2 linked regions of the Nothobranchius furzeri genome follow. The protein of the gene in region 1 interacts with the protein of each later gene in a pairwise test. Links are inferred from orthologs where the notes say so. Each region holds a gene or a part of one and is shown on either strand. Other genes may lie near its edges. The genes, in order: lemd3 and smad9.

Region 1 (3,543 bases):
ATTTATTAATAAAACTTTCTTTTTAATAAAAGTGGGAACTGATCACAGCAGCAGCGGAGACCGACTCAGGTGGCGTCATGATGAATAAGAACTTATGGGTGAGGATTCCTGCAACCTGGAGGTCACATGCACACACACGAAAGTAAAAACATCACATTTAAGATGAACAACTCAAGGAAAGAGGGTAAGTTACATAAATCCTGGACAATAGAACTTGGAATTACATTAGAATTAGTTTAAAGGCTTCATGTGACTGGAAAACATGAGCTCTGTAGGATCTCAATCGGTGTTCAAAGAAAGCTGGAATAAAGGAAATAAAACGAAAACAAGGTCGAGTCTTCCAGCTTCAGTGGTTGTTCTGATTTTAGTGTGTGTATGTGTGTGTGTGTTCTGATAAAGCTTGTGCTTCTAACTGCATTAAGAGCAGAAAGTTTTGATTTTAACAGTTTAAAAACAACTTCCACGTGAGACCGATGTGTCTGACTCTGTAACTAACAGAAGCAAACCCAGTGGGTTGAACTGTGGAAGAGGAGAGAGGATTGGTCTACAAACAGATAAAATACTCAAAGATTTTATTCTGACACTTGAAATATACAGTTTATATGTTATAACAGAACGTGCTCCACTCTGCTGCTTCTCTTTCGTATCCGCAGTGTGGAATAAAAATAATAATAATCCAATAGCAGGAGCAAAAGTCCTGAAGGTATTAAAATAGTGAGTGGGCCCAGCAGCAGAGTTCTGGGAGGAAAAAAGCAGAACAGCAGATGTCTCAGGAGAAGCTGGAAGAGCTGACTGACTCGTGCTGTTGATGGTAAGCTGCAGCGTTCGTGCTGTTCTGGTGGAGGCTGGAGGCCTTCAGGGGCGTGCTGCAGCCCTGGGCCTGTGGGAAGCGCTGGTGGTACCGGTCCAGACGCAGGTATTTAACCGTCACCAGCTTACCTGTGGAGCAAAAGCAGAACTTGAGAAAACTGAGCTGCCTCACAAAGATCAAATATCTCAACCAGAACACGTTCTGCCAAAACAGTTTCACTCTGCAGGAAATAGAAAGCAACTAAAATAAATAATTAAATCTAAATAAAGTCTAATGTGACACCAAGATGGAGAAATATATTCAAATGTTAAAACCAGAAAAACCAGCTACATATTCACACAGGTGTGCTTATAGATGTGGGAGGGGCTTAATCCCTGCTGATTGTTTTTATTTTCATAGTTATACTTTGAATCAATCTCACAGGACCGGTTTTAAACCAGACCGGAGCTAAAGAACAGAGCCTGAAGAGTTTCCAACAAGTCACCAAGCATCCTGACCAGAGACCTCCGGGCCTAGGTTTGAGGTTTGCTCTGAGCTTCCGTTTCAACATCCTACAGTAAACCTTTCCAGAGAGGATGAGTGTTATGATCCTCTGTCTGATCCCTGATTAGTGAGCAGGTTTGATCAGGTTCAACCTAAAAAAAACTACAGGAACTCAGGTGGCAGAAGAGGGCGGGAGTCTGGGTGTGTTGATCCCCAGAGATATAAAGTGGCTTTAAGTGAGCAGATCACCAGTCTCTTACTGGTGATCTGCTGGTCCTTGGGTATAGATTTATCAGCCTGTGCATCAAATATTATGTGGTGGCAGCATTTTAACACATCAGCCCAGAAACGAGCTGAAAGGATCAATGAGGCCAGTGAGACTAGAGACCCCATCCCCCCCCCCCCCCCCCCCCCCCCCAATCCTCTTAAGTCAGATTGATAACCCTACATGTGATATCTAAATAGAACATCAGACGCGTTTGGTTTACCATCAAACCAGGAGCCGTGGAGAGCTTTGAAGGCTTTCCCTGAGTGTTCTGGAGATAGACACTTCATATACACACACCCCTGTGGAGACAAGAGCATCGCATTACTATATGTGGAGCCAAACGGGTGTCTTCAGGACATTTCAGGTGGACCACATGAGCCTGTATAAGAAATGTTGGGAGACGTAGGGCCCATCGGACCTCTTTAGGACATTAGGAATGACTGTGTCTCACTCATACCTCACGTGAGTTCTTGTCAACAGCAACATGAACAATACCATCGTTGTCACTGCACTTCTCCAGGATGGCTTCTTGAATGGCTAAATCCCAGTGATCTCCAACCTCGCTGAACACAGTAAAATGAAATAATTATGAATTAAAACCACGTGTGAGAATCCAAAGTCAAAACAAGAACAAAGTGAAGGTGGAAATGAACTCACATGACCGGGTCAAACATATTCCTTATCTTCAGACATGGAGTGAGGCTGTTGGGAGGGGAATTCCTCCGGTCCAAAGGGAAAGCTGGAAACAAGGACGAGCTTTAACAACACACAACGATCTTCCGATTATCTCAGCTGCTCATGTTGCCCTGAGCTGAGGCTCTCGGGTCTGCTGCGTCGAGCAGACTATGGCATCAGTAACAAACATGGTTCCTGCAGGAAACAACCAAAGAACAAGAACCAGAACCAACCCAAAGTGCTGCTCACCCCCAAACACATGACAACATAGAGATGTAACCAAAGGAACCACCATTAGGATTTGAATGAGTCACCTTTTCCCTGCCATCCTTTGGATTTGTCACAACTGAGAGAAGGCTGGATCCACCTCCACACCAGGAAATCTGCTCCATCAATCCTCTGATTCTCCGTTCGAATCCTCGACTCATTGGCTGAAAGAAATCTCACGGCCCGCTCCCAGACCTTCTTCATCCTCTTCCTGTAAAGCAAACACATTCCTGACACATCCTCCAAAAGGTCAACGCACCGTTTCTGCTGCTCAGCAGGACCTAAATGTTCTGTAGTTATTCAGTTTTTTCCCCCGTCATTCAGGGGTCCGCTCCAGCAGAAAGTTCTTGAACGTGGTCCCGTTGGGTCATACAAAAAGTGAAACAGGAAACTTGTCTAAGCGCTTCATGTTCAGGTCGCCTGGTTGAACAGGAGCTGGTTCTACTGGTCCTCCTCTCCTCCCTTCTGTTGGGCCTGGTCTGAACCAAAAGACCCAAAGCCTTTTCACACAAGAGTTCTGAGATATGACTGAAATGGGTCCTGCTCCTCTTGGAGCGGTAGGACTGGATTGGGCCACAGAACCAGTCCCTAGTTTCTAAAATGGTTTTAATGTTCAGAACTCAGCAAGATGTTCAGAAAGTTAATAAAAAAAGATGATCACTCTTACATCTGATTAAATGAGGTGTATTGTGAACGGGTTTGAACTTTAACAGGTGGGTCCAACAAAACCAGAGTCTAGGAAACCCTGACCAGGACCAGATCTACTGGACCACCTGGTTCTGAGGGTTTAAAATAATTATTTTTATCATTATTAATAATAAAAACGGAACCAGGTAGATGAGCTCAGTCTGCTGAGTGAGAACAAACACGACGACACAGGGGACACAAGGAGGTACGGCTGGTACTCACCGGTCCTGAGGAAGAACCAGGGAGTCCCTGACATGTGGGATGGGAAGGTACGGCTGCAGCTCCTGGTTCTCCTGACAGGACTCACCACGAGTCCTCAAAACATCTGAACAAAAACAGCAGAATTAGGAGA
Region 2 (4,452 bases), on another chromosome or scaffold:
GTAATACATCAGCCTTGCAAGGGTAAAGTACCTCTGAGTACCTCTGTGTGGAGCAGAAAATGTAAGTTTAGTAGTTTCTGTGGGGTTGTTTGGCTTAACGTCATCTTGGGAATTAGTCTCCATCATGCTGTAGGGAGGAGGAGGAGTCTCAGCTGGAAAAGCAAATCACATAAAAAGTAAAGGACACACATTCATCAGCGTCCAAATCAACACATCTTGAACCTTTGATTCTTACCTGTTACGTGATATGGACTACCAGGCTCTGCAGAGCTGCTGGGGGAGTTGGGGAAACTCTGCGAGGTGGGCGACTGGGCGAGGGATGAAGCCGGTGATGAAGAGGAGAAGGAGGAGCAGGGCAGTGGAGGGAAGGAGTCTGGGTAGGTGGCGTTCTGGGGCATCAGTGGCTCGTTGTTCAAGGAGGCACTTCTAAACTTGGCCAGTAAACTGTGCTGCGGGTTGTACTCACTGTGACGTGGAACAAGAACTGGTGGAAGCACTAAAGAACGGGAGACAATAAATAAAAACTTAAGACTCAAGAACAAAACATAAGAAATTTAGAAATAATATCTAAATACCTGGAGTCTCTACTCGTCTGTAGTGGTAGGGATTGACGCAGATGTCTTTCTGCTTGGAGCCGAAGGGAAACTCGCAGCATTCGAGGGCCTTCAGCTCATGGTGGGACTGGAGGTCTGGCCAGCGCCACACCCTGCAGTAGATCACATGGGGCAGACCCTTCCTATGGGACACCTGCAGCCTTCCGTCCAGTGATCGTGGAATGGTAACACATTTACCTGAGGCATCAAAATCATCAACAAAACTTTAAAGCAACACTTAAGAGTTTTTATCACTTTAAGCTACTGCTTTCAAACTGGTTTCAGTGATTCTTGAAGCAGAAACTAGACCAAGTGTTCACTGAACAGCGTAACACTTTTGTGGCACAGGTAGGTGCACTAGGGGGAGCTCTCTACCTGCTTTATGGCTGTTTACATTGACCGTTGCTAATATAAATGCTGGCAGTTAGCTTTTTCAGTTTGCTGACCATCAAGAAAAAAAAAGAAAATATTGCTCTTCCGTTGGCATCATGGCCGAGTCTGGAAGTAAAAGTAAGAGTAATGTCTTTTAAGGTAAAGCAAAGAGCTAAAACCAGAGTGAACATCGGTGTGGCCTACATTAGTTTGAGGGATCTGAAGGATACTATGAAGTCACAGACTGATGGTGACCTGGCTTTGTTGCTACTGAACTTGTGAGTAAGGACATTTTTGGTCCAACAATGTGGATCTTTTTACTTAGTGGCTTATTTAGTATCAGTTGGCCCATTTTAGTGTTAGCTCATTGTTAGTGCCACAGCAGGCTGCGGCAGAGTTGTTTACGACCGTTGTAATTCCACTTTCAACCAGTAGGAGGGAGAAGTAGGGAATCTGATCTAGTGTGGCTTTAAATCTATTGTTGTTTGAAGGAGTGCTCAATTGCCAGAGAGTACATGGCCCAATCCCAATACTCGCACTTCCACGCTTGTGCCCTATTGGAAAATCATGACCAGGGGTGCTAGTGCATAGGGTGCCCTCTCAAATGCGGAAGTTGGTCACGCCCCTTTTGCACCCTTGAGTCATTGATGCAGACTTGGGTGAAGGGTATTACCCACAATCCATTGCTGTAAGACAAAAGGCTCAAGTTACATTTCTGAAAATATGTATTTTCTAATGAAATAGTTCATTTTAGGACGATTAGTTGATGCTCTGAAACTTTTACACAAAGCAGCAACAAATGTAAATTTATTTCAGATGATTGTTTGGTTGTTTGAAAGTTGTTAAAGGTTTTTTTTTTTTAAGTATTACAGCGACCAGCATCCCGGCATGCATTATGGTCTATAACGCAATGCTCCCTGTCTCAATTCAGCAATTATTTGCACACGCGTGTACCACACACTCGAAGTCTTACTTTGCCTTTGACTCCCTTATCCAGGTGGCAAGAGCTCCTGCTATACAAAAAAAAATCTTCTCCTTTTAGCTACACAAGGCCAGGAAAACAAGTTTTCAATGTGGCAAACAACTTTGAATTAAAATGGATATACAGGAATCTGTAATCAGAGAAGTTAGGAGAAATAAAAACAAAAAGAAACCATTTTGATGAATATGGGAGTCTGTTATTTTAGGTGGTATTTGATCTAATAAAAACCTTTGAGATAAAATCCCTAATAATTCACTCACATCTAAATATTCTATCTAACTAAATGTTGCTTTTTAAAGTCAAATTCACATAAAAATGGAAACAACTTTATTTTCTATGTCCACTTCATTTTGTTCAGGGTCAAAAAGCATCTGGATACTATTTGTTTCTAGAGCAGTAGTTTGATTACAATATTTCATAAATTTGGAAGTCTTCCATTAACTTACAAATATCCCAAGTTTAAATTAAAATCATAAAACACACAAAAATGGAATACCCTTCTGAACACCGCACTCCCTTATGTTAGGGTAATCATGTAAACACACTCACTGGGCTGCCCAGGACAGCTGAGGGCCCGCTCCAGCTCCTCCATCGCACCCTTCTTCTTCTTTAGTTTTTTCACTAAAGAATCCACAGCCTTCTCTGCCCACTTCTCCTCCTCATCACCTTGCTTCCAACCGAGCAGGCGCTTCACCGCCGGACTGGTGAAGGAGAACAACGACGTGATGGAGGTGGAGGAGTTCATTTTGAGATGAGTAAACAGGTGGCTAAATGAGCTGATAGGTCTGGTTAAAGAGATAATAGTTCCCTTGGGGACAGGGGTGAAGAGGCAACCGATGAGTAGCCACCACTAAGAAGAAGCAAAGAAAAAGCTTGATGGCTTTGTGTAAAGTTTTTTTCCTCTTCCTTTTGTATTCCGCTGTAACTTCCGAGCAGCTCTGGCGAGGGAGTTGAACTCCAGCCAGAGCTGTGCAAACCCTAAATCCTTTCTCTGTGTTGGCACAGAAGGGATCAGCGGCTTGGGATTTCAGAGCCTCCTGCAGGGATGGGTACTCCTCACATCGCCAGGAATCCGGGTCAAGTTTCAGTCATCTGGCAAAAGACATGAGACACTATTAACCTCAACAAATACACTGGGGAACGGTGGGATGGGAGGTTGGATAGCAGAAAGACCTTGAGGTCAGACCTGAAGAGATGAGACTAAACACCTCAGAACCAGAATCTACAGCAAGCAGGAGGAATACACAGAGCGCCTGCATAAGATCGCCCCCCCACCCAACCCCCTCACATGCTGAACAACATTATTTTTCTCTAAGGGGAAAATGAAATGCAAAACAAAACTTGCGTCAAAAAGTGCAGGCCAAGATGGCCAAGCTCATTCCCCAACAATGAGGAATGTCCTTTCTGGCCTCTGTTTCTATGATCATGCCACTGACGCCCAGGAGCCATACTGTCTGGCCAGAACACATCACAGAGCAGGAGGGGGAGACAGGGAGGGAGACAGACACAGGGCTTGTGTTTGTGTCTTACTGGACTAAATATTACCCAAATACCTGGAAAGAGGTTCAAAAGTATCATCAAAAACCACCTCTTGATTTCCTAAATACTCATGCAGGAAAGGTTCAAGACACAAATTGAAGTTTAGAACTTGTTTATCTTCCTTAAATGTAGTTTATGCTCAAAGAAAACATACTTTTGCACATCATCACTTCCCTCCTGCCAGCAGACGCCCTCCTTTTGCTCATTATGCATCTTTATAATTATGTTTTTCTGCAGCTGAAACTGACTTTTGAAAAGCTTTTTACATAGATAAGAAAAAATGTTAGAATAAGTTCAATCACTACGCTCTCATGGGTCGTACCTTGTTTGTGTTGGAAATGTGAGAAGCACTAGCTCCTGAGACAGGCAGACAGCTGAGGAGGTTTTAACAATGACGACAAAAAGCTGCATCACTCAGTCGCTGCCGCTGCTGCTTTATGGAGCCTGGCGTCATTCAGTCTGCAGCCTCAGATAGGCTAATTACCTAATGCTTTATCACCAGAACACCCCATCCCAAAAAAGTAAACACGCCAGCTTCCTTTTACTATCACTGCATCCAGTCATGATGCTGAGGCAAAACCCAGGTCCGGCTCTAGACTCTTTATTCTCACGCCTTGGCGGTCATCATAAACATGAAAAAACCATCCAAAATCAACATTGTAATTCTTATTTCCAAAGTTTCATGAGATTCACGAGAAAACACGGGCAATTTATAATTTCGAAATATTGTATGTTATAAAGTATATTTAACCATATTTAACTGCACTTAATTATGAAAAAAGCGCGCGCACACACACACACACACACACACAATATATATATATATATATATATATATATATATATATATATATATATATATATATATATATGTATGTATGTATATATGTATGTATATAACGACAACAATCTGATATTTCCCAAATATGTAAGTCTATAACATGTTATATTTTTCATAATAAATGT

The links.
Region 2: the proteins of lemd3 (region 1) and smad9 interact in binary tests that used the Homo sapiens proteins (3 or more experiments, as listed by UniProt). The link is inferred for Nothobranchius furzeri from reciprocal best matches to the Homo sapiens genes LEMD3 and SMAD9.

Annotation. Positions count from the first base shown.
Region 1 is NC_091741.1:64,250,879-64,254,421, forward strand, and holds the end of lemd3 (inner nuclear membrane protein Man1), read right to left. Parts: intron 3,517-3,543; coding exon 3,414-3,516; intron 2,716-3,413; coding exon 2,552-2,715; intron 2,302-2,551; coding exon 2,220-2,301; intron 2,126-2,219; coding exon 2,020-2,125; intron 1,862-2,019; coding exon 1,783-1,861; intron 940-1,782; coding exon 770-939; 3' UTR 556-769; downstream 1-555.
Region 2 is NC_091750.1:62,624,682-62,629,133, forward strand, and holds the start of smad9 (mothers against decapentaplegic homolog 9), read right to left. Parts: upstream 2,910-4,452; 5' UTR 2,693-2,909; coding exon 2,497-2,692; intron 792-2,496; coding exon 576-791; intron 497-575; coding exon 236-496; intron 153-235; coding exon 42-152; intron 1-41. UniProt on the Homo sapiens protein: Transcriptional modulator activated by BMP (bone morphogenetic proteins) type 1 receptor kinase. SMAD9 is a receptor-regulated SMAD (R-SMAD).